Linked DNA regions of Yarrowia lipolytica. The protein of the gene in region 4 purifies or fractionates together with the protein of the main gene of each other region. This does not show direct contact. Links are inferred from orthologs where the notes say so. Each region holds a gene or a part of one and is shown on either strand. Other genes may lie near its edges.

Evidence for each region.
Region 1: the proteins of YALI1_B01644g (region 4) and YALI1_E27243g purify together in Saccharomyces cerevisiae (affinity purification with mass spectrometry; 5 studies listed by BioGRID). This does not show direct contact. The link is inferred for Yarrowia lipolytica from reciprocal best matches to the Saccharomyces cerevisiae genes TAF7 and TAF9.
Region 2: the proteins of YALI1_B01644g (region 4) and YALI1_B23373g purify together in Saccharomyces cerevisiae (affinity purification with mass spectrometry; 4 studies listed by BioGRID). This does not show direct contact. The link is inferred for Yarrowia lipolytica from reciprocal best matches to the Saccharomyces cerevisiae genes TAF7 and TAF14.
Region 3: the proteins of YALI1_B01644g (region 4) and YALI1_C19529g purify together in Saccharomyces cerevisiae (affinity purification with mass spectrometry; 5 studies listed by BioGRID, with this or other methods). This does not show direct contact. The link is inferred for Yarrowia lipolytica from reciprocal best matches to the Saccharomyces cerevisiae genes TAF7 and TAF2.

Annotation. Positions count from the first base shown.
Region 1 is NC_090774.1:2,722,269-2,726,616, forward strand, and holds YALI1_E27243g (uncharacterized protein), read right to left. Parts: upstream 2,073-4,348; coding exon 1,512-2,072; downstream 1-1,511. Other genes in the region: YALI1_E27218g (uncharacterized protein), read left to right, coding at 1-176; YALI1_E27229g (uncharacterized protein), read left to right, coding at 670-723, 791-1,192; YALI1_E27249g (uncharacterized protein), read left to right, coding at 2,678-3,364; YALI1_E27273g (uncharacterized protein), read right to left, coding at 3,830-4,348. UniProt on the Saccharomyces cerevisiae protein: Functions as a component of both the DNA-binding general transcription initiation factor complex TFIID and the transcription coactivator SAGA complex.
Region 2 is NC_090771.1:2,335,995-2,340,692, reverse strand, and holds YALI1_B23373g (uncharacterized protein), read left to right. Parts: upstream 1-3,416; coding exon 3,417-4,169; downstream 4,170-4,698. Other genes in the region: YALI1_B23385g (uncharacterized protein), read left to right, coding at 2,218-2,934. UniProt on the Saccharomyces cerevisiae protein: Functions as a component of the DNA-binding general transcription factor complex TFIID, the RNA polymerase II associated general transcription factor complex TFIIF, and the chromatin-remodeling complex SWI/SNF.
Region 3 is NC_090772.1:1,950,414-1,957,957, forward strand, and holds YALI1_C19529g (uncharacterized protein), read left to right. Parts: upstream 1-2,561; coding exon 2,562-6,356; downstream 6,357-7,544. Other genes in the region: YALI1_C19500g (uncharacterized protein), read right to left, coding at 410-453; YALI1_C19510g (uncharacterized protein), read left to right, coding at 599-1,999. UniProt on the Saccharomyces cerevisiae protein: Functions as a component of the DNA-binding general transcription factor complex TFIID. Binding of TFIID to a promoter (with or without TATA element) is the initial step in pre-initiation complex (PIC) formation.
Region 4 is NC_090771.1:162,199-167,385, forward strand, and holds YALI1_B01644g (uncharacterized protein), read left to right. Parts: upstream 1-2,250; coding exon 2,251-3,744; downstream 3,745-5,187. Other genes in the region: YALI1_B01628g (uncharacterized protein), read right to left, coding at 1-611.

The DNA.
Region 1 (4,348 bases), on a different chromosome or scaffold from region 4:
TTGTCTTGCAGCTCCTTGAGGGTGGCCTCGTACAGGGCAATCAGTGCCGGTCGGGGGTTGGGATGCTGGTAGATACCGGTCAGACCGATAGGAGCTTTGTTAGTGGCATAGACAAGACATTCGTCTCCTGTCGTGGTGACATCAGACGTAGTTGTGTAGTGCACAGTCAGGTTTAAAAACCACATAGATACTCACTTCCCTCTCGCATCTGAACGAGGACGCTCTGGCCACTCTTCTGGACTCCCTTGGAGACGTTTCGCAGCAGCTGTGTGTATCGCATTTTTGGGGTTGTGTTCTGAGCCTCCGAGCTGAACCGTGATCTTGACGCTATTACTACAGAGCTTGAGATTTTACCCTTCGTTTGGTTGGCCAGAACCTTGTTTGGGGGTTAGGGTTGGGAGTACATGGGCTTTGATGTATTACTTGGGGGGTTAAGTAATTATTAACAAAAGTGTTTAAGTTGGTAAATATGCAATAAATTACAAAAATGAGTATCAAAATCAATTTCTCCAGTAATTTCATGGTATATTTCATATTCATCACCTTCCCGACATATCCATTACATCCCAGTAACTACTCTCCTTTCTTGTTATGATATTCATCTAAGTTCAAACATGCATCTCCACACTTTCATATCTCCATCACCATCTTACTAACAACACACAGCAAATGGGTGTCTTGCTGTCTTGCTTAAGAGGGCCCGTTGAGGAAGACCCTCCTGGTGTGAGTATTCATTTGATTGCCGGCATCTTTTCCCCACACACTCTCTCTATGCAGATTACTAACCCAGATCTCCGAAAATGAACCTCTTCTTGGAAACAACACAATCGACACCACAGACGATAATGCAGTGGACCCTTCGGACCGCCAGAAACGCATGTCTAACCTGCATCAGATTGTGACGAGCACCGGCTCGAATCTCATCGACGTCGGCGCGGTGGCCCAGGTCGAATCCCCGAACGGCATCACCCAAAAACGAAGTGCCTCCGACTTCAAGCGCCAGCTGGACCCCGAAACAGGCATTGTGGTGCTTGCTAGCGATGCTTCTCACGTGAGCAAGGCCAACCTGAGCGAAAAGGACAAACAGGTGGTTTCCAAGCATGTCGGCAAGTTTGTGGAGCTGGTTGCCAAGGAGTCCAACGTCAAGCCGGTGGGAAAACTGGTGCAGAACTTTTCCGAGATTCAGTCGTAACCAACGGCGAGACTAGCATAGTGTATTTATATTGTTGTTGTTGACCTCAAGAATTGGAGCGTAGCGAATGGTCTTGTATAGCTTTTTCAGTACAAGTAACTAATTGTACTCGTGGTATCATGTTGTACAATGAAGCGTACGGCTGTGGAATGCATTTATGTGTACAGCAGTGTAGTTTGTGTCTCGGAATCAGTCTTTCAATGGTTTCTGATGCATCTCTTGCTCTCCCTTGAAGCACTACGAACACCTCTCGTCAAATATCCATGAAATTCCAACCTTTACTCCGGCGGAGTTCAATAATCAATAAAAATACACCTAATTAGACCGCATCCTTCATTTCCTTATCCTCATTGCTGCTGTTGTTATTGGTCTCTTCAGCTCCCTCAACAGTCTCTTCTTCCTCCTCGTCCAAATCCCACTCCTTGGCAGTGAGACAGTACTTCTCCGGGGGCAGTCTCAAGCCGTAGCCAGGCTGTACCTGTGGCAGAGCTCGTCGGTTACGTTCCTGTGCCATCTCCAGAAGCAGTTCTTTGGGTGGTGCTGGCTTGAACTGGTAGTTGACTCGAGCAGCAATAGCCAGTCGCACGTCTTCCACTGACAGAGCCGACGTGGAAACTGCTGCTGCTGCTGCGTTGGCATTTCCGCCAGATCCGCCGGAAACAGGGCCCGTCTTGTCGTTGTGAGAGTTGTTGGCGGCCGCAGCATGGTCCGAGTACAGCAGTGCATCGTGCAACACGCCTTGTGTATATCTGTAGGCAAAGTCCATGAGTTGAAGAGGCACCCGTTCCTGGTACGAGGTGACGCCCATGGAGGCCAGAATCAGATGCAGCAGACGCACGTCTCGCGGTGTGGCTGCGTTTGGAAGATCACCCGATTCCATGTGTGTGTCTGTGTGTGTTTTTTTGTGTGTCTTTCTGGTAGACGGTTATGAGTGTGAATCTTTCTGTCCTTCTGATAGAGTTGCATGTTGGATCGTGCATTATTAGGTTCAGGTTATGAGTGGTGGGTAGTGGGGAGGTGCTGGTGAATCAGGGACCTGACATAACTCTTATAAAAGTCGCAGTTGAGGTCTTTTAAAAAAGAGAAAGATGCCAAAAGGAAGTAGTTGTGTACCATCTGAGGGATATGTTGTCACCTCTTTCAAAAAATCAGATCCCAGGCATATGTTATGACGTGCTTGGCTCCCCACATACACTGCAATCCCACCCAAGAACGTGGATACATGAATAATACAGTCACCAACTGGTTATGACTAGGTCAACGAGGCCAATTGCACCAATTGAGCGCGCTCGTGACGTCCCCGCGACCTCCCCCTCGCGCCCATCTCCCTGCGCCCACCAGTTCCAACGTGACATATATTGGTCCTGTTTAACATTATGCTCTTCCACGTAGCACCAACACGGTCCCAACAGTACGACTACTTAAGCACGCCTCCTTCCCTGTTACTGCCACCACACAGCACAACAGCACACGATACTATCCACCATGAAACTGTTTGCCACCATTGGAGTTCTGCTCGTGGCTCTTCTGGCCTTCTTTGTCCAGCCTGCACAGGCCGAGCCCGACGCCGAAATCACCCACAAGGTCTACTTTGACATCAAGCAGGGCGAGGAATCGCTCGGAAAGATCGTCATGGGTCTGTACGGAGACGTGGTCCCCAAGACCGTGGAGAACTTCCGAGCTCTGTGCACCGGCGAGACCGGCAAGGGCTACAAGGGCTCCAAGTTCCACCGAGTCATCAAGAACTTCATGATCCAGGGCGGAGACTTCACCCGAGGAGACGGCACTGGAGGCGAGTCCATCTACGGCCGAAAGTTCCCCGACGAGAACTTCCAGCTCAAGCACACCAAGCCTTACAAGCTGTCCATGGCCAACGCCGGCCGAGACACCAACGGCTCCCAGTTCTTCATCACCACCGTGGTCACCAGCTGGCTCGACGGCAAGCACGTTGTCTTTGGCGAGGTTCTCGAGGGCCAGGACATTGTCGACGCCATTGAGAACGCCCCCACCGGCGCTCGATCCAACCCCAAGGTCGACATCACCATTGCTGATGCCGGAGAGATCCCCGTGGAGAAGTCCGAGACCAAGGAGGCTGAGCCTGCCAAGGAGGACGCCAAGGAGCCCAAGAAGGACGTCAAGAAGAAGGGCAAGTCCGACAAGGATGAGCTCTGACTACATGGCTCCAAAAAGAAGGCCATTGAAATCTATGATAACCTGCGGGACCGTACCCAGGCCGTGTACCAGCGGGAGAAGCACAACGCCAGCTGCTTTTTTGTTTTTCTCTTCACCGCCGCTTGTGTGATTGCCATCAAGGCCCGAGGGTCTAATGCTATCAAGCAGCGAGCTGAGTAGAGTAATGTAATCGAGAATATGTTCAAGTGATAGTACAAGAACGAGTACATACTGTAGCTGTATGTACACAATTGAGTGGTACATCTACGTACTTGTATGGTATTAAAGGGTACAGTAATTTACCCGCATAGTATCTGTATACTGTCCAAGATCTGCCTGAATATGCATCTTTGTCTGAATGGGGTATAATATATCAGGTTAAATGCAATGTCTATATGCTGGAGGGGAGAGATAGCTTCCAAGAATTTGTCGGCCCCCGATTCATTCGTCGGCTACCTCTTATTCTCATTTCGTGTTGTTCTTATTGACCATGTTGATCAATGGAATGTCGTCTCCAGAGTCTTGGGCCTCGTCGTCATACTCATAGTGCTCCTGAGGAGGAGGCTGGAGATGTTGAGGAAGGTCGTACTGTGTGCGTTTTTGCTGTTGCTGACGCTGCTGCTTGATGTAGGCCTGGTTCTGGTCTCTGATTTGGACTTCCTTAGCCGCGGCCTCTCTGATCTTTTGCAGCACCTGTTTATTAAGGGGGAACTGGGTACCGTTGCCCCGGGCCGCTTCACTGGGCTGGATAGGCAGCAGCCACATCCACCACTTGTCGCCCATGACGAGCTGGAAGTTGCGTTTCCAGCCCACGTCAAACACGTTTCCGACCGTCTTGGACGTAGGCGCAAACGTGTATCTGTATGCGGCAGTGGGCACGGCAGACCGGTACTGGGTGCTTTCCAGAAACTCGACCGTGCTCTGGTTGTTGAACACGAGGTAGAGCGAGAAGGTGGCAAACGTGCCGACCGCGATGGCAAACAC
Region 2 (4,698 bases), about 2.2 Mb from region 4:
CGTTCTTCTTTGACGTCTTCGTCCTTGTACTTGACAAAGTACAGTACAGTACAGTATGTACTCCTTTTGTCATGTCGTGGTCGGCAATTCGGTAATGCTTGCGACCCTCGTCCTTTGCCTCTCCAGCCTCGTTCTGCCTTCCCGAGAGCTATCAGAAAGTCTAGTTGTTTCGATTCAATGTCAACCAGAAACATTCTTGAACCTGAAGTTGTACAAAATGGTCATTCTTCCGATTCAGGGCCTTCATGACTTGTTTCTGCTGTAATATGTCGAGATGTATCTGCGCCCTATACAGTATATTGTGACAGAAAGGAGGAATACACTTGTAAACAGTCTCAAGAAGTTCTCAAAAGCTCTGGGGATGAGTTCAGGCGATGTTCCAGGCGTAGATGGACTTGTTATTTGGGTCTGGAGCAATTGTTGAGAAATGTTGGTACCTGCGAAGACATGGGTCCCCACAGGTTGTTTTGATGGAAGTGTCTGTTTCTCAAGCACCTCTTGGCCTGGCCTTTAACCACAATTGATTGTGCAAAAAGTCTCTAGCTCGTCGGGGGTGTCTGAACGGTTAGAAATGTCCTCACTTCCTGGGTTGGCGCTATCTGAGCCGAACGTGAAGCTACCATTGAGGCATATATGGTAGCTGATAAAGTGTCCAGGGCTAAATTGTGGGTTAGCGCAACGCTTACTGGCCATGTTTGAGTATAGTATGTACATAATGAGAAGGATGTTAGAAGCTGAAAAGTGTTATTGACCTGGTTGGTCAGCCCCCTAGCTTTTTGAAGAGTTAACCACTTGGAACGTTGACACATTCGCAGATTAAGTACAAGTGGGAAGTTTCACCGCTATAGAAAGAGTAGCAGCTTCCACCAGCTGCCAGGGAAGTCCAAGCACGTCATCTAAACATCTGCCTTACTTAGTGATCTGCAGAAATCAATGACAGCAACAGTAATGACAGGACACATACAATTTACTTGAGTCTGTCACGCGTCGTCCATAGCTTTCCTCTCTGACGTAGTACATCTTTACTCGTCACTGAGATATTCGCATAATCAGTGCATAATCCATGTACAGTACTACTTTGTATAATCAGAATGATGGATTGTAGCTATGATGTATAGGATTGGTGTATTAGTCAAGTGATTGCGTATTGAATTCATTGTAGGAATGATTTAAATATATTTATTCTTTAGAATCTTGATGTCGGATGATAAGAAGTTGGACTTGTACTTCTACAAGATTTTTTTGTATGCGTCTCCCATTTGTCTCTCTCTCTCGTACTTGTACAACTAGGCTCAAATTAAGATAGAAGCACTTGTAAGGGCGTGAATGGGCTCTCAAACAATTCTGCATTACGTGATATCTTGTCAAAATGCTCTCTCAAGCACTATCTGGTTTTTTTAATTTTTTTTATGTATTATATTTATTACTTTTTTAATTTTTTTTATTCAAATGGGTTCATTACATTTTTTTATTCTAATGATTCATTGCAGCTGACAAATCAAAACCAGTCTCCAGTGAGTCCAACCACTGATGGAGAAACAAGCCGCCTTCGTGGCCAAGTGGTAAGGCGCAGCACTAGTAATGCTGAGATCATCAGTTCAAATCTGGTCGAAGGCATTTTTTTCCTTAAAGCGAGGATTATACGAGCTGTTTGTGATGGGTTTTCATCAGTGTCCCAGAAACCACCTTTTTGTGATTGTGTGTATAGTCGAGTTGAAATTTTGATGCACCTATGTTCCAACAGGTCTCAAATTTACCACTACAGTAGCTAGCTAATTGTGTTTCAATACTGTTACAATGTTCCTCTGGTGACACTGTTGTGCTACAGTATGTACAGTATGTCGTGTTCAACACCTATAACCTTGAACACAGTTTGCGCTCCTGTCCTCTTAACCATCACTCAACTTGCTCACCCACACACCTCTCTGATAATATCCAAATACCACAGTATTGCTTTACACGATACTCGCTTGATACCTACTGTACTGACGTGTATACTTGGACACAGAAACTTGCTCCACTGGTCATCTTTTGCTGTTACCACTTGCAGACAGTGATACCTACATCGAAACCGCGATACCTGACCGTCACCGATACACTCCACTGACACACCATTGATACACACCGTTGATACAAGGACTCATACCTCACCACTGATATACAGATATAAACATTTGGCACACACTTCTCGCACCCACCCGATAGCCCCACCTCAAGATGAATCTACTTACCATCTTAATCTCGACACTGCGCGTCGTGTCAGTTCTGGCACGACCCATCTACTCGACTCCAGTCCACGTGTCCACTGGACCTATCCTTTCGCGACGCTCGGAATCGACCGACGAGAGCTACGACCAGTGGTATCAGAGTCTGAGTGAGCGTCGACACAAGCTGAATATGGCATCGAAGGAAATCCAGGCAAAGCAGCACAAGGAGTCTGCTAACCGCATCAAACACAGCACTTCGCAGAACTTTGACCTGGAGTACGAACCCGACTGGCTGGATGGTCTGGTGATTCAAACAAAGGGAATGAAGGTGGGAAAACACTCTTACAAGGTGCCCCACAATCGTGGGATCGATGCGCGACGAGGAGTGCCCAACAAACAGATATTTGATGCCATCAACGAGCCCGAAGACGACGCCAATTACTTTTGGGATCCCAATTGCCCGCGGTACAACCAGACGGCTCAGGATAAGATTCCCAACTACCCTCGCCCAGGAGTCATTGATCCTCCTACTCGTTCACCTGCTCGCGGAGATGTGGAAGCCAACAACAAGAACGATAACGGCCGAACTGGTCAGCGTGGCAGTTCGGATGACAGAGGCAAGAAAGGTACGAAACCTGTCCAGTTCTCATCTGATGCAGGCCTAAGTTTCAGGGCTAGTAGCAACAGTCTTTTTATTGCGGTGGTATACTTGATATGTCTCCTGTAGTGTAAAGCGGTGTTTTCAGCTGATGATGTTTTATAAGCTGTTTATGTTAGCAGGTTACTGTTTATGTAATTAAGGGATGTACACTATAGAATTGTAGATGATCATATCTGATTAACCGGACGGCGTATGATATATATATTCGATCACCTCAAAGCTAAGCACAGCTTGATGATTCATTTGATTGCGATTACAATATATTGCATCACCATATGGCTATGACCCAATTATTGCATATTTTAAATTAACTCAACCACAAATCGAACCCCAAACCTTGGCAAGTATATGGAGAGATGCAAAATCGAACTGACAACCGGGGCTAAATTAGCCTGCTGCATTCTCGAGGCTGGCGCGTCACACACAGAACGATACAAGACTAGACAGCGGACTATTGATACAATGGCGCCCCCTACAGTGAGTACGAAGTTGAAAGAGGGAGCCTTGAGGCTGGAGGAGGATGCAGAATTGAAATATTGTGAGCCTCGATGTTTCAATATGATGTCTCCATGCTAACCCAGGTCCAACGACAAATAAAAATCACAACCACCCAGGAGGTGCTAGACGACGTGCCTCCGCAGCAGGAAGGATTTCCCATGCGAAAGTGGGCCATCGAGATCTCGATGCTCAACGACAAAGGTGAGGAGGTGCCCGCCACGATGTTCGATGAGGTTATCTACCAGCTGCACCCCACGTTCGTCAACCCCAACCGAACGTTCAAGAAGCCTCCGTTTCGAATCGAGGAGCAAGGATGGGGAGAGTTCGATCTCAAGATTGTGTTCGTGCCAGCTGACAAGGGCCCCAAGCAGTCGGTCACTCACGACCTCAACTTCCAAAAGTCCAAGTACGAGGTGATTCACAACCTAAAGTTCCCTACCAATCGGCCTGGTCTGGCCAAGCTGTTGGCCGAAACGGGCCCCGTGCCTGGATACTCTGCGCAGGCGGCCTCTCCGGCACCAGACAAGCGACGGGCCGAGGAGGACGACTCCAAGCTCAAGAAGAAGAGCAAAGTGCTGGAAAAGTCCAGCGTGGACCTGGAGCGGCTTGCTGCCGGCCTCCAGAGACTCAAGGAGGACGATCTCATCCGAGTGCTGCAGATGGTCACGGACAACAAGACTTCTGACATGGCCATCAACAACAACGTCGACGAGGGTGAATTCCACATGGACCTGTTCACCTTCCCCGACAATCTGCTCAAGAGTCTGTGGGATTTCACAAAGCGACGATTCCCCGATGTTTAAGCGGACTGGAGAGTGAGGAGGTACCCTTAGATCCGTCGGAAATCCCGGTTCTTTGTATATTAGTATATTAGTAAGATGTTATTGATTTACGTGTGGAGATGGGCTACAGTAATGTGCAAACAGCCCCAGTAGAACTAAGTAAAACCAGGAAAGTGTACCTTTAGTGAAGAGTGAAAAATCAATACCAGAGAGCTACTTGTACAAGTATTCACCTCACGCTTAGAGAGATTAACGTAGCTCAAGGTACTCGTTAGCTAGCTATAGCTAGGGATGTGGCGTGACTCATTAAAGACCAGTACTACAGTAACTGCGGCTAGTAGCAAGTAGTAGAAGAGGTAAGTACCGTGCGTAATGTACGAGTACAGTACCGGTACTGTACCGCATTGTGTTTTTATCCACACAGTCAGGTGGATGTAGAATTATAAGTACTGTAATATGTAGTTCATCTCACCATCTCTTTCTTATACAGTCCTAAATGAGCACCAGCTACCTCCTTCCACATTCTCGGCAATACATACAGAATATATTA
Region 3 (7,544 bases), on a different chromosome or scaffold from region 4:
GTTGGGTCTTGTATCTAACTTACCCTTGGGTACTGGGTGACAGCCGTGGAGCAGTAAAAGTGAGTACAGAAGAGTCGTTATGGGCCCAATGGGGACAGGGAAGCTGGGCTATGCAAACTCGGCACAAGTCGATGGTGATCAGTTCCGAAATGGGTCTTCAGTCTGACCGTTGCAACTGATCTCCCTTTGACTGCTTTAACACCTCAGGAATCGGAACTCTCCCTGGTCAACCCACCCCTCCAACCATCCTTCCAACCACCCTTCCGACCACTAATACCATACATCTAGATTGTGCAAGTACATCTCTGGCAACTCTCCCTCCACCCCCACACAAAACAAAAGCCCTATATCCACCTAGATACTCTAAATACCTATCTGTGTCACGTCGCCGGTCGCGTGGAGTACTCACTAAATATCGTTGAGAAAATCGTCGTCGTCGTCGAGTCCAGACATGTTAACTATCTAGTCGCTATGTATGTGTGTGTGTGTGGTAGAGGAGAAAACCTCCCTCTGCGGTGTCACTATGCACTCTGTTTTACCCTAACCCATTCCCCCAATTGGGGAAAATATCGAAACGTCGTGTGTTCGATTCCTGTAAATGATTATGTTAAAAAAAAAGTCAAAGTCTAAAAAATATTTTGATAATGCGACTACTGATCTGAAAAAAAAAAAAAACACCACACAAACAGAAGCAATGAAGTACCTGCTGTTGCTGTCGCAAACGCACATGCAGTTTCGGCTGGCCGAACTCACCGCCCTGGCCCAGCTCGAAAATATCGCCGTTGACTTGTCGTCCCATGACGAGTCGTCTCCGTTCATGATTGTGGAGCTGGAGAACGACGAGGCTGCCAAAAAGCTGATTCGACGATCCGTGCTTGCCAAGTCCATCTACGAGCTTTGGGGCGGTCCAGCTGCGTCCATGGAGGAGCTTCACGAGCAGATCAAGACCCAGACCAGCCAACTGTGGCCCAAGTATGCCACCGACTCGTTCAAGTTTGAAATCATTGGATACCAATCTTCGCGACCCAAGGAGGAGTTTATCAAGATGGTGGAGGGGTTTTCATACATGGATTTCAAGGGAAAGATCAAAATGAAGTCGCCGGACCACGTGTTCACCATTCTGGAGGACTACCGAGTCATCGGGCAGAACCCCGAACCCGCTCCCGCGCGAATATTCTTTGGACGACACATTGCCAACTCCAACCGGAGTGCCATGGACACTTTTGATCTCAAGAAACGCAAATATATCGGCACGACGTCGTTTGACGCTGAATTGTCTCTTTTGACGTGCAATTTGGCGCATGTGAAGCGAAACGGGCTCATGTACGATCCCTTTGCCGGCACCGGATCGTTTCTGGTGGCTGCGGCAGCGTTTGGAGCTCTCACGGTGGGTTCGGACATCGATGTGCGCATGATCAGAGGCAAGGGTAAAGGATGCGATATTCCTGCCAACTTCAAACAGTACAACTCCGTTAACCGGCTTCTGGACGTTTTGGCGGTCGACTTCACCAACAACTCGTTCCGAAAGGGTCTCAAGTTCGATTCCATCGTCTGTGATCCTCCCTACGGAGTTCGGGAGGGTCTCAAAGTCCTGGGAGTGCGAGAGGAGGACGTTGAGAAGAAGAAGCATCTGGAAACGACTCTGGTGGACGGTCAGCTGGCGCATACTCGTCGAGATTACATTCCTCCAAAGAAGCCGTTTGAGTTTGGAAAGATGATGGATGCTCTGTTGAGTTTCTCGGCTGAGCGACTTGTTGAAGACGGCCGGCTCGCCTTCTGGATGCCCACCGCCAACCAGGACTACACAGACGCCGAGATTCCTCTCCATGAGGATCTAGAGCTCATCTGCAACTGTGTGCAGGACTTCAACCAGTGGTCGCGACGGTGTTTGGTGTACAGGCGACGAAAGGAGGGCGATAAGGGCGAGTTGAGAAAGACTGAAGGCGGTAAGGCTGAGGACTTTCGAGTCAAGTACTTCAAGGGGTTCAAGAATGAGTAAAGGTGTGAGAATGAGCTATATAGATGGTAATGCATGGTTATTGGAGACTGAAAATTGGTTTTATTTTCGTTATTTTGGTAATGCATGGTTATGGGTGACTTTTGGGACTGGTAATTGGTTTTATTTCCATGTTTTTTGTTTTATTTTCGTTTTATTTCGTTTTATTTTGTTTTATTTTGTTTTTTTTATTCTATAATATTTTATTAATAATCGTAATATTCCTGCTGACCGCTCTTCCGATCTATCCTTAAAGTTTAGTTAAAAAAGCTCCGTTTTAGTTGACCCAATACTTTGTAGTTACTTACACTGCTTCGCCAAAACAACACTCTCCAACTCACCCAGGACCACTCCTATCGTAAAAAGGAGAATATTGCCGGAATCTCCAACACCACCTGTCTCCACCAAACCCGTCCTCATCGCCTCTCGCCCATCCCCGACGCTTTTCCTTAGACCTCTCCCCGCTACCGCCAAACCTTATGCACCTGTAATTGCACACCATCACCATCACCAACCACAGTTGCGACGCCACTCAGTTACACACAGAAACCAACCATTCTACAGCATGTCGCGGGGATTCAATGTGGCGCACCAGAAGGTGTCGCTGGACGTGGATCTCGGGGAAAAGGTGCTGCGCGGCTCCACGGAAATCACGATTGTGCCGTCGGACCTGTCGATACGGCAGTTTCGGTTCGACTGTCGGCAGGCGCAGATCAAGTCTGTGTTGGTGAACGGCAAAAAGGCCACGTTCACACATCACGACGCCAGCGGCTACGAGGCGTTCAGCGACTCGCGCACCGTCTCGGACGTCCATCAGCACCATCTCTACCGAAAGTACATTGATCACGCCCACAAGGAGGTGTTGGAGGGAGAGCTGGAGGTGAATCTGCCGCGAGGCGTCAAGGTGAGCTATCAGGACACGTCACGGGAAACAGGGCCCGCCGCAGATGAGGAGGCCGTCGGGGTGTACGCTCCTCTGATTGTCACCATTTCGTTTGTGGTCCGGGATCCCAAGACGGGAGTCACGTTTGTCGGGGGCCATGGATCGAGGCTCAAAAAGTCGTTCTGGCATGCATACACAACCCACGCACCCATAGGAGCGGCCACCAGCCACTGGCTGCCGTGTGTGGACGGTCTGTGGTCTCGATGCACGTGGCAGTTTGAGGTGACGGTGCCCCGAACGGTGGGCAGTCTAGGAGGAGCAAGGGTCGAGGAAGAGGAGCCCGACGTCGATATGGAGGACGCAGACGACGACGAGGGTCTCGAAGGAGCCACTCCACGTGTCAAGGAAGAACTTGCCGACGAGCATGTGGTCAAAAAGGAACTCACAACAGAAACCGGGTCGCCAAAACAGACCGTTGACGACGATGATGAGGATGAGGAGATGGAGCAGGACGACAAGGAAGAGGAACTTGATCTGGAAATGGAAATCGAAATTGAGGTGGTGGGAAATGGAGCTGTGGTGGAGGAGCTGTCCCACGCCGATGCATCCAAAAAGACCATTGCTTACTCCCTCTGGAACCCCGTCTCGGCCCAGCACATTGGCTTTGCTGTGGGTCCATTTGTGGAGGCGCCTCTGCCTGATTTCAGAGACACAGACGAAGACGAGGACGGAGGAACACCAGCAGGATTCCCCATCAAGGTGTTTGCTCTTCCGGACCAGGTTTCCGACGCCTCAAACACATGTGTCTTCCTACACAAGGCCATCGAGTTTCTGACCAATGAGTATGGTTCATTCCCGTTCGACGCCATGAGCGTGGTGTTTGTGTCTGAGTATGGCAAGGCACAGATGGGCGCGTCTGGGGGTCTCTGTGTTGCCTCTGACGATTTTCTGTATCCTCCGGATGTAGTGGATCCCCTGCTTTCGTCCACAGAAGCTCTCACAGTTGCCCTGACTACCCAATGGTGTGGTGTCAACATTGTGCCACGCACCTGGAACGACACGTGGTTGACGCAAGGTCTGGCTATTTACATGGCTGCTCTGTTCATGAAGCGTCTGATGGGCAATAACGAGTACCGGTACCGGTTTAAGCGGTTGGCTGAGATGATTTGTGAGGAAGATGTGGGTCGCCCACCGCTCGCCAAGCCCCATTTTCGATTCCCTCTGTTTCCCAAGGATCTGAGCTTCATCAACCTGAAGGCTCCGGGAGTTTTGTTTATTCTGGATCGTCGAATGACCAAAATCGACAAGACGTTTGGTCTTTCTCGAGTCATTCCCCGTATCTTTCTGCAGTCTCTTTCTGGTGATCTTGTCAACAATGCTCTGGGCACAAACCACTTTTACAAGCTGTGTGAGCGAGTTTCGCACTGCAAGCTGGACGAGTTCTTTGACCAGTGGGTGTACTCGAGTGGTGTTCCTGTACTGCAGGTCACCCAGCGGTTCAACAAGAAGCGAATGTTCATTGAAATGGGTATTCGGCAGACCCAGACCGACAAGAGCGGCGAGAAGAAACCTGTGGAGGATACCTTTATTGGGGACGTTATTCGGAGTGAAGAGGGAGTGGATCATGGGGATGAGGAGGAAGGAGGTCCCAAAACGCCACTTTTTACTGGTCCCATTACAATTCGAATCCACGAGGCTGATGGTACTCCCTACGAGCATGTGGTGGATATCAAGCACATTTTTACCAAACTTGATATCCAGTACAACACAAAGTATAAGCGGCTGAAGCGGAACAAGAAAGAGGTGGAAGCTGCGGCCACTGTTACTGCAACTGCGGCGCCTCCTGCAGCTTCTGCTTCAAACAATGAGGAGGATGAGGTCGGTGTGGTCATCTCGTGTCTGGGCGATGTGCTACAGACCGATGCAGAGTTGGAAGAGTGGGAGCTCAGTGAGTGGGGCAAGGATGAGGAGATGCGCATGTCCAATGAGGCGTTTGAGTGGCTCCGAATCGACGCAGATTTCGAATGGATTTGTAAGATCCATGTCAACCAACCCGATTACATGTACGCTTCTCAGCTTCAACAGGATCGAGATGTGGTTGCCCAGTACGAATCGGTGCAGTTCTTTGCCGAGTCGCGACCCTCCAAGGTATATTCGACGATCCTGCTACGTACATTGATTGATCGGCGGTACTATTATGGAGTTCGAGTGGCAGCAGCACTTGGGTTGGTGAAGATGGCAGTTTCGGAAACGTCTTACATTGGTCAGACGCATCTGTTAAAGGCCTTTCAGAACTTGTTCTGTTTCCCCAACTCGTCTATTCCTCGATCTAACGACTTTTCGGATTTCCCCACATATTTCGTGCAAAAGGCCATTACTCGAGCCTTTTCTCAGATCAGAAATGGAGATGGCGAGTGTCCCGCAGAGATCCGGACGCTGATTCTAGACATTTTGGCCTACAATGAGAATTCAACCAACTCCATGAGTGACTCGTTCTACCTGTCTGATCTGATTACGTTTTTGGCCGATGTCTTGTGTTCGTCAGACAGCAACGACGAGTCTACTCGTGAATTTGCTGCCCGTGCAGTCAACGAGATTGATCGGTGTGGTCGCCTGGACACTTGGATTCCGTCGTACCAGAACGTGGTGACTGTGGCTGCATTGGAGGCCAAGAAGCGGCTCTTTCTCAAGGGTCTATTTTCTGCCAAGCTGCAGGATCTCATCCAGTTCACGCGTTCTGTCAACTCATCGGAGGTGCGTCTGGCAGCTTTCGAGGCTATGTTGCACATTGGTGGGCTTCGAAACCACTACATTATGCATTATGTGTTCGCCTCGGCTGCTCTGGACGACTCTGCGCGGGTGCGAAACGGCATCATCGACCTCTTCACGCGGTATCTCGGCACTTTGGCCATCAAGGGTGATATGTCTGCAGATAACCATGCCGATGACAATGACGGTATGATTGTCGATGATGGTACCCAGGCGGCGATGGAGGCGCGAAAGGTGCAGATGGCTCGAACGTCGCTTACTGGGGCTGCAGATATTCTTCGAGACATGCTCCGGCAGGACACCAGTCTCCAGACTGAGCTGTGGGACTCGCTACGAAGTCCATACCACGGTCTGGAGGCCAAGTCGCAGTTGCTAGACGTGTGTCAGGTGCTGTTTGTACCTGTGGATGCTTTCAAGGTCAAGTTGTCGACCCCCAGTCTGATCAAGTTGGGCGTAGACTATTCTTCTGGAAGTTCTTTGGCTTTGCGGGTGGAGTCCAACATTCCTGCTCCGGAGAAGACGGCCGTGTTGCCTGCCATCAAGAGCAAGCGGCTCAAGGAGCAGGCGCAGAGGTCGGAGATTGTGGTGGTATCCAAGAACAACCCAAAGGTCAAGTATTCGGTGAGGCCGGGCTTCAGGATCACGACAAATCCCGGTCCCAAAAAAAAGGAGGTCAAGCGGTTGTCGGTAAAGCTCAGTTTCAAGTAATAATGTATATTTATGATGATTGTATTGGGGGAGGGGGGAGGAGGTAGGAACAGAGAAGACGCAAGTTTGTAGGAGGAGGTGTAGTCGTTTCCACCAGTAGTACTACGACGCCTTTGCTGGAGAATGGGAGAGTACATCTGCGGTGAACTCTGCGGTGAGCTCTCGTGGTTCAGTTGACTGCTGAACACATCTTTTGGTCAAACACGTGACAATGTTGGTGGATTTCTGATGACCGGCCCGCTTCTTTTGAGTGTATATGTCTGTAGAGTAAGAAGGAGAGAATGTATATATTATTTATACGTCATGTCGTGTTTTTTTTTTTTTTTTTTTTTTTGTTTTTGTTTTTGTTTTTAAGTCTTCTTTTTTTGTATCTGTTTTTTCATAAAAGTAGTTGTTCGCCTCCAAGTCTGCGCTATGTTTTCGTTCCAGAGCACTTTGAGGTATAGACACAAATGGTACACAATCTCTATAGAGGCCAAAGATTTCAATAATGAAGTCCCTATGTGTCTAGCACCTCCATCGCGTTCTGTAAATGGATATTTAAACCTGGACTGGACATGTTCCGTATGTGCTACAAATGAGGTTTGTCATAACTCGATAAGGGGTCTATCAGTGGAGTTTGGGAGTTAAAAATATGGCATAATGAGGTCCAATAAATACAATAATCGGCTCTGTTTTTCTCTATCTCTCTTCTGGCATTCAGGAGCATCAATTCAAGATGTTTGTCTAAGTAGAATGGAACGATGGGTAATAATTCAGGCTGAAGAGTCACGTGTTCAAGCCAATTGTCCAAAGTGACAAGTGCTAGGGCTAATTATATCTTGTCTCTAAACCATTCCAATGCGTGCCCTTTGCGCTGGAACAACGGCGAATATTTTCAGTACAAACACATCGATGCAAGTAGGTACAGTATGTAGTCAAGTAAGTTGCTCTTGCTAGGGTAGCTAATGTGTAAACAGTGAATGATACAGTACTGATAGGTTGATTATCGTATCCTGCAGTAAACTGCTTTACGAGTAGAATGACTGACCGTCCCTGGTCTGGACCGTAAGCATTATCCCGGAAGCCAGTAGCGTAGCGTAGCAGTAGAGTCCGAGACGAGGAACTTGGGAATGGTAATTGATCATTTGATCACTGTAGCACTTTATACACCTTTTGAAAGGTCTTTGTTGATCCTCTGGTGGTGAT
Region 4 (5,187 bases):
GCAATGTTGTCGGCGACAATCTTGGCCATCTCGGGGAAGTGCCAGCCGTACCACTCCTTGATTCGCATGGCGTATGTGTTGAGCTCCTTGTCCAGATCATCTAGTAATGCGATGGCCTGCACAATCATGGTGTCGACCTTGTCGGGGGAGAACTTGAGCTTGTGTCGTCCCAGCGAATGGGCCAGACCCAGGCTCATGGTGGCCAGGTCCTTCTCGGTGAGGCCGGGCAGCAGAGAGGGCAGGTTTTCTCGGATGGCTCGGAAGAGATCGAGCGAGGCGGACTCGGCAACCACGTCAAATGGCAGATCCAGCTTGTTGATGGCGTTGCCCAGCTTGGGGTCGGCCACCACCAGAGCAGACTTCTTCTCGTCCTTGAACTCGTTGAGCAAAGCAGCGAGCTTGTCGGAGACCCGGCCATCCACAATGGCGTTGACCTCCTCCAGAGCAGAGGCGGCAGAGTCAAACTTGGAGAAGCCCTTGACCTTGAACTGCGAGGTCACCAGCTCGGGGGTCGACAGCTCCTCGAGAATCGACTCCGACTTGTAGATCTTCTTGTCCTTGGCCTTAAGCACGGCGTAGCCGGCAGACGTTTCCGTCAGAATAAATGTCATGGTGTCGTGTGTGGGCGGTGGTGACGTAGATGACAAGTGCGGTTGTCAAGTGTAGTCAGTGGAGATGGATGGGAAAAAAATTTGGGACGACTAAATTTTTTCCAAAGTTTATTTTAGGGTTAGGGCCCAGGCGAGACAAGCCCAGATGAGAGTGTAGCGAATGTCTGGGCGAGTCTGAGCGGGGAAACATCTGAACTGATACATGTGGTATTTTCTGACCATTTCCCCATTTTCCCATTTTCCATTCTCATTTTGCCATCTTTCATTTTTTCCATATTTTCTCCAATTTTTCCAATTTTTCCAATTGTCTTTTTTTCTTTTATCCATTTTCCATTTTTCCATTTTCCATGTCCCATCGTTTCCACAGTGAAAATTCTTCTCCTAATTTTGCTGTGATTCAGGAGGCTTGAAATGGGGTTTTTTTTAGGGAAATGATTTATTGATTTGAGATTTGATTTTATCTGATTTATTTTGATTTTCAGATTTTCCGGTCCCAATTTTCCCATTTTATTTCAGATTTTCCGGTCCCAATTTTCCAAAAAAATTCCCACGCTACACCACATCTAAATACGGTCGAATCTTCCTAGACGGCTCCATATTTCCACTAATTTCACAATAAAGTAGGTACATTGTGCGATTTTCTTTTCTTCCTTTTCTCTTTTTTTATCCCATTTTTTTGTATATATTTGTATATATTTTTATATTTTTTTTCATTTATTTATTTAATTTCTAGTTATTTTTTATTTATTTTAATTCATTTGCTGAACCGCTCTTCCGATCTGCATATCACTGCAGAAAGTGATATCGATAAAAAAATAGTCAGATATACTCAAGTGGAGCCAAACGGAAACAGGATCGACGGGATTGAATGATCACGTGATGAGAACAATGGGTACTTTCAGGGTGGTCACGTGATCAGAGTCTTGGTCGGCGCGGTGGGGGTGACCTTGACTGACCTGGGGGGGGGGAATGTCTGATGGGCTGTCGCTGACTAAGGTGATAATAGGGCAGAATTCGTAATGCAGAATTTGTAGATTAGGAGATTCTTGGATGCTCACGGTGATGAGGTACTCGTATTGTAGGTACTCGTAGATATGTCTTACCGAAAACAAGTGGACGAGATCACCTTTTGACGAAAGAGACACTCTTTTGGCGATTCCAGAGACTCTGTTTGGCTTCCCACGACTTCTGATGTATACACTGACTCTCATCTTGAAGCTCCAACATTGCTCAGATTTGAATGGTTGAAGTTGCAGTTTGTTAATGGGGTTGTTTTAAATAGTATGCTCCATTCAATATTTCTCATTTGTTCTTTGATTGTGTTGAAAAACATGAAAACTATCTGGAAAGGGTTTGGTAACAGTAGCTAACCAAGTTTCAACAAATGACACCAGAATGCTAACCAATTTTCAACAAATGTCAACAAGTAAGATTTCAGATAAGTTCGTCTCCCGCCGACCGTCCACCCGAAATATTAATACCATTGTGGAGCTGTGATTGAGGAGATTCCAAATATTTTATTTTCGACACGATTTCATTGACCTACCGAGAACTGGAGGGCCCGTCTGGTTCTAAATAAACTTTCTGCACTTACTCCAGACACTTGTCACCACTTTTAGCCACTCTCTCCACTTGACCAATGATCAAAATCAAGCTGAAGCCCGAAAAACGGTCGCCGGAGGCATCGCCGGAGAAGCGGCGGACCAAGAAGCGCAAAACGGATGAGGAAGGGGCCAAACCGAGCACTCCGTCGCTCAGCATCAAGTTGAAGGCGCCCAAAAAAGAGCGGGAGTCCAAGCCGCGGTTGTCCCTGAAACTGAGCAACAAAAAGAGCGAGAGCGCGGCGCCGGAAAGCAGCCGGGCGTCGACCGCGAGTGGCGGATCCACTAAAAAGAGCAAGGTGGTGCCGCGGATCCGAGTCAAGGCCGCCCGCGAACCGGGCCAGGGATACGACAGCGAAGCGCCGGACCGCGAAGACGATCCGCTGATTGAAGAGGGATTGATTTTGCGATTCCCACCAATCGGTAAAAGAGGCCGCGACGACCTGTCATATCTGCGGACGGCGGTGGAGAACCAGGATTACAGCAACATTGTGATTCGGTTCAAGGACTCGCGCAGGGCGGTGGTTTCTGTGCGGGGGCGGCATTACGCGGCGAAATTGGTGGACTTGCCGGCGATCGTCGAGGCCCAAAAGACGTTTGACCGCGGCAAAAACATGTTCAAGTGTCTGGACATTTGCCAAATGTTACTTGTCACCGAGCCCATTTCGTCCGAACACAGCATTATGGAGGCGCGGTCGATGCAATGGGACAAGAGCTCCAGCGAAAGCGCGCTGACCTGTCGCCATGGCCTGACTCCGCCGTTGTTTGACGCCAAACGTCGCCGATTCAGAAAAACCGTGTCCACAAAGGTGATTGAATCGGTGGAGCAAAAGGTGACGGACTTGCTGGATCTGGACGACGAGGCAGACTCCACATCATATGAGCTTGTCGATGGACGCACCCTGGCGTCCTTGTATGGAGCCGGTGGGGTTGCGGGCTCGCAATCTGTGTCTACCACTGTTTCTGCCGCCGCCACTCCTCCTCCGCGGTTTGCCATGGTCGACGAGGGAGAAATGGACGTGGATTTGCTCGATAAAGAGCTGGAGCGGGCCCTGGAGGACCAAGGCTCGGATGAGGGCGAAGAAATCGAGGCCGATGATGCGTCCGAGTCCGAAGATGAGGGAGAAGGCGCAGGTGAGTCGGACAACTCGGACGAAGAGGAATTGCCCCGAGCGTCGGCCGGAATGGACGATGACGACGACGGTGAAGAGGGAGGACACGCCAAGGTGCTGGTCGACACGATTGCAGATCTGGAGGCGACCATCAAAAAGCAGCAGGACGACGCCGACCGCACCGCCAACGCCATGCTCAAGGAGCGGTTCAACCAGCGAATCTCCAAGCTCAAACATGAGCTGGAGGTCAAGAAGAAACAGCTCAAGGCAAAGAATACCATCAAGGAGAAGAAGAAGGAGATCGATAAGAAGGAAAAGAAGGAGGAGAAGGAGGAGAGTGAGGACAAGGTGGAAAAGGGCGAGGTCAAGGACAAGGGTGTGGGCAGTGACGACGATATGGATTTGGATGATTTGTTTTAGCCGAGCTCGGCAGGGTGGGAGTTGATATGGAGAAAATCCAGACCCGAATCTATTCCGTTCCACACCAACGACAAAGTCCGATGGGTCCGCTCGTGGTCCGTTCACCAGAGGAGTCGACCTGTGAACTTCAGTCATCTCTCTACACTGCTTCGATATGCCACGGGACCTCCACCGTATGTCGTCTAACAACGGTCTGCATCGGTCTAATGAAATACAATAATTTATTCTGGTTCTGTACGAGTAGTGGAGGGTGTGTGCATGTTGTCATATGACTGGCATAGTTGTCCACGTGTTCAGTTTTCACGTGACCGGAGCACAAGATCGAGTAGTTGGTCACGTGTCCAACTTCCGCGTCTCACGTGACGACACTATGATACTTTGGTTCTGTCTGCATGAGATTCATTGACTTGGAGGTGACTTCATTCTTCCAGAGCTACATACGGTCCGTCCCCTGAAAAGAAGTGCACAACCCAGCCAATAATAAACCTATCGACGGTTAACAACAAAACAATTGTGTTCACCTGAACAAGAGCTCTTCAACGATATAATTTTTACTAATGTTCTGATTATGTAACCGTCACAAATGAGCAGTCTTGTGCAGAAGAAAGGCTTCTGTATATGGCACCTAAACAGACAATGTATATGAACATTGGGATTTAATAAACGACCCCGAAAGACATAAAAGCAGAATAAAACCACAATAATCGCCTGAAAAAAAGGCTTTGGAACACTTTGGAACACCTTGGAACCGTTTGGAACCCTTCTGACACCCCATTCAGGCTTCAGTACAATTTTCAGAATTTTCACGGACATTCCACTTTAATCTGGCCGACGAGCGTTTGTGTCTCCAACTTTTGTAATACCAGCACTGGAGGGATAAAAAGTAGTTTACTAAAACCGTGTCGTTTCGATGATTAATTTGGTACTAATTCTGACAAAATTGGGTACAATTAGAAAATAGGACAGATAGAAGTGTGCTCACACCGGAAGACATGGCAAGCTTGAGAAGAGAAGCGGTCACGCAATGTGGTCAAGCGACTATAATCACTTGCAGATGCTCTAATCACGTGCAGATGATCTAATCACGTGTGGATACTCCAATCATGTGACTGAGAAAGGGAGGAAGGAAGGAAGGGCAGGGAATTTTGGGAGACTGGAAGGGGGTTTTGGGAGCCGTATCTGGAACAACAAAGGGTAACGACTTTGACTTGGTCACGTGACCAGTTCTTCATAGCCAGTATAGAACTTTTGGAGACGTTGTCAGCGCTGTTTGGAGTTGGGTCCAGATCTTTCGAGACATTCAGAAACGCTGGTGTTCTCAGAAAGCTGGTCATGGAGCACTCAGACATTAGTACATGTAATGATAAGGCGTTGAACAGCCGGGAGAGTCCAGTCTCTGCTGGTTTGAGAGCACGTGATCCAAACATTGGAGTTTCCGTCACT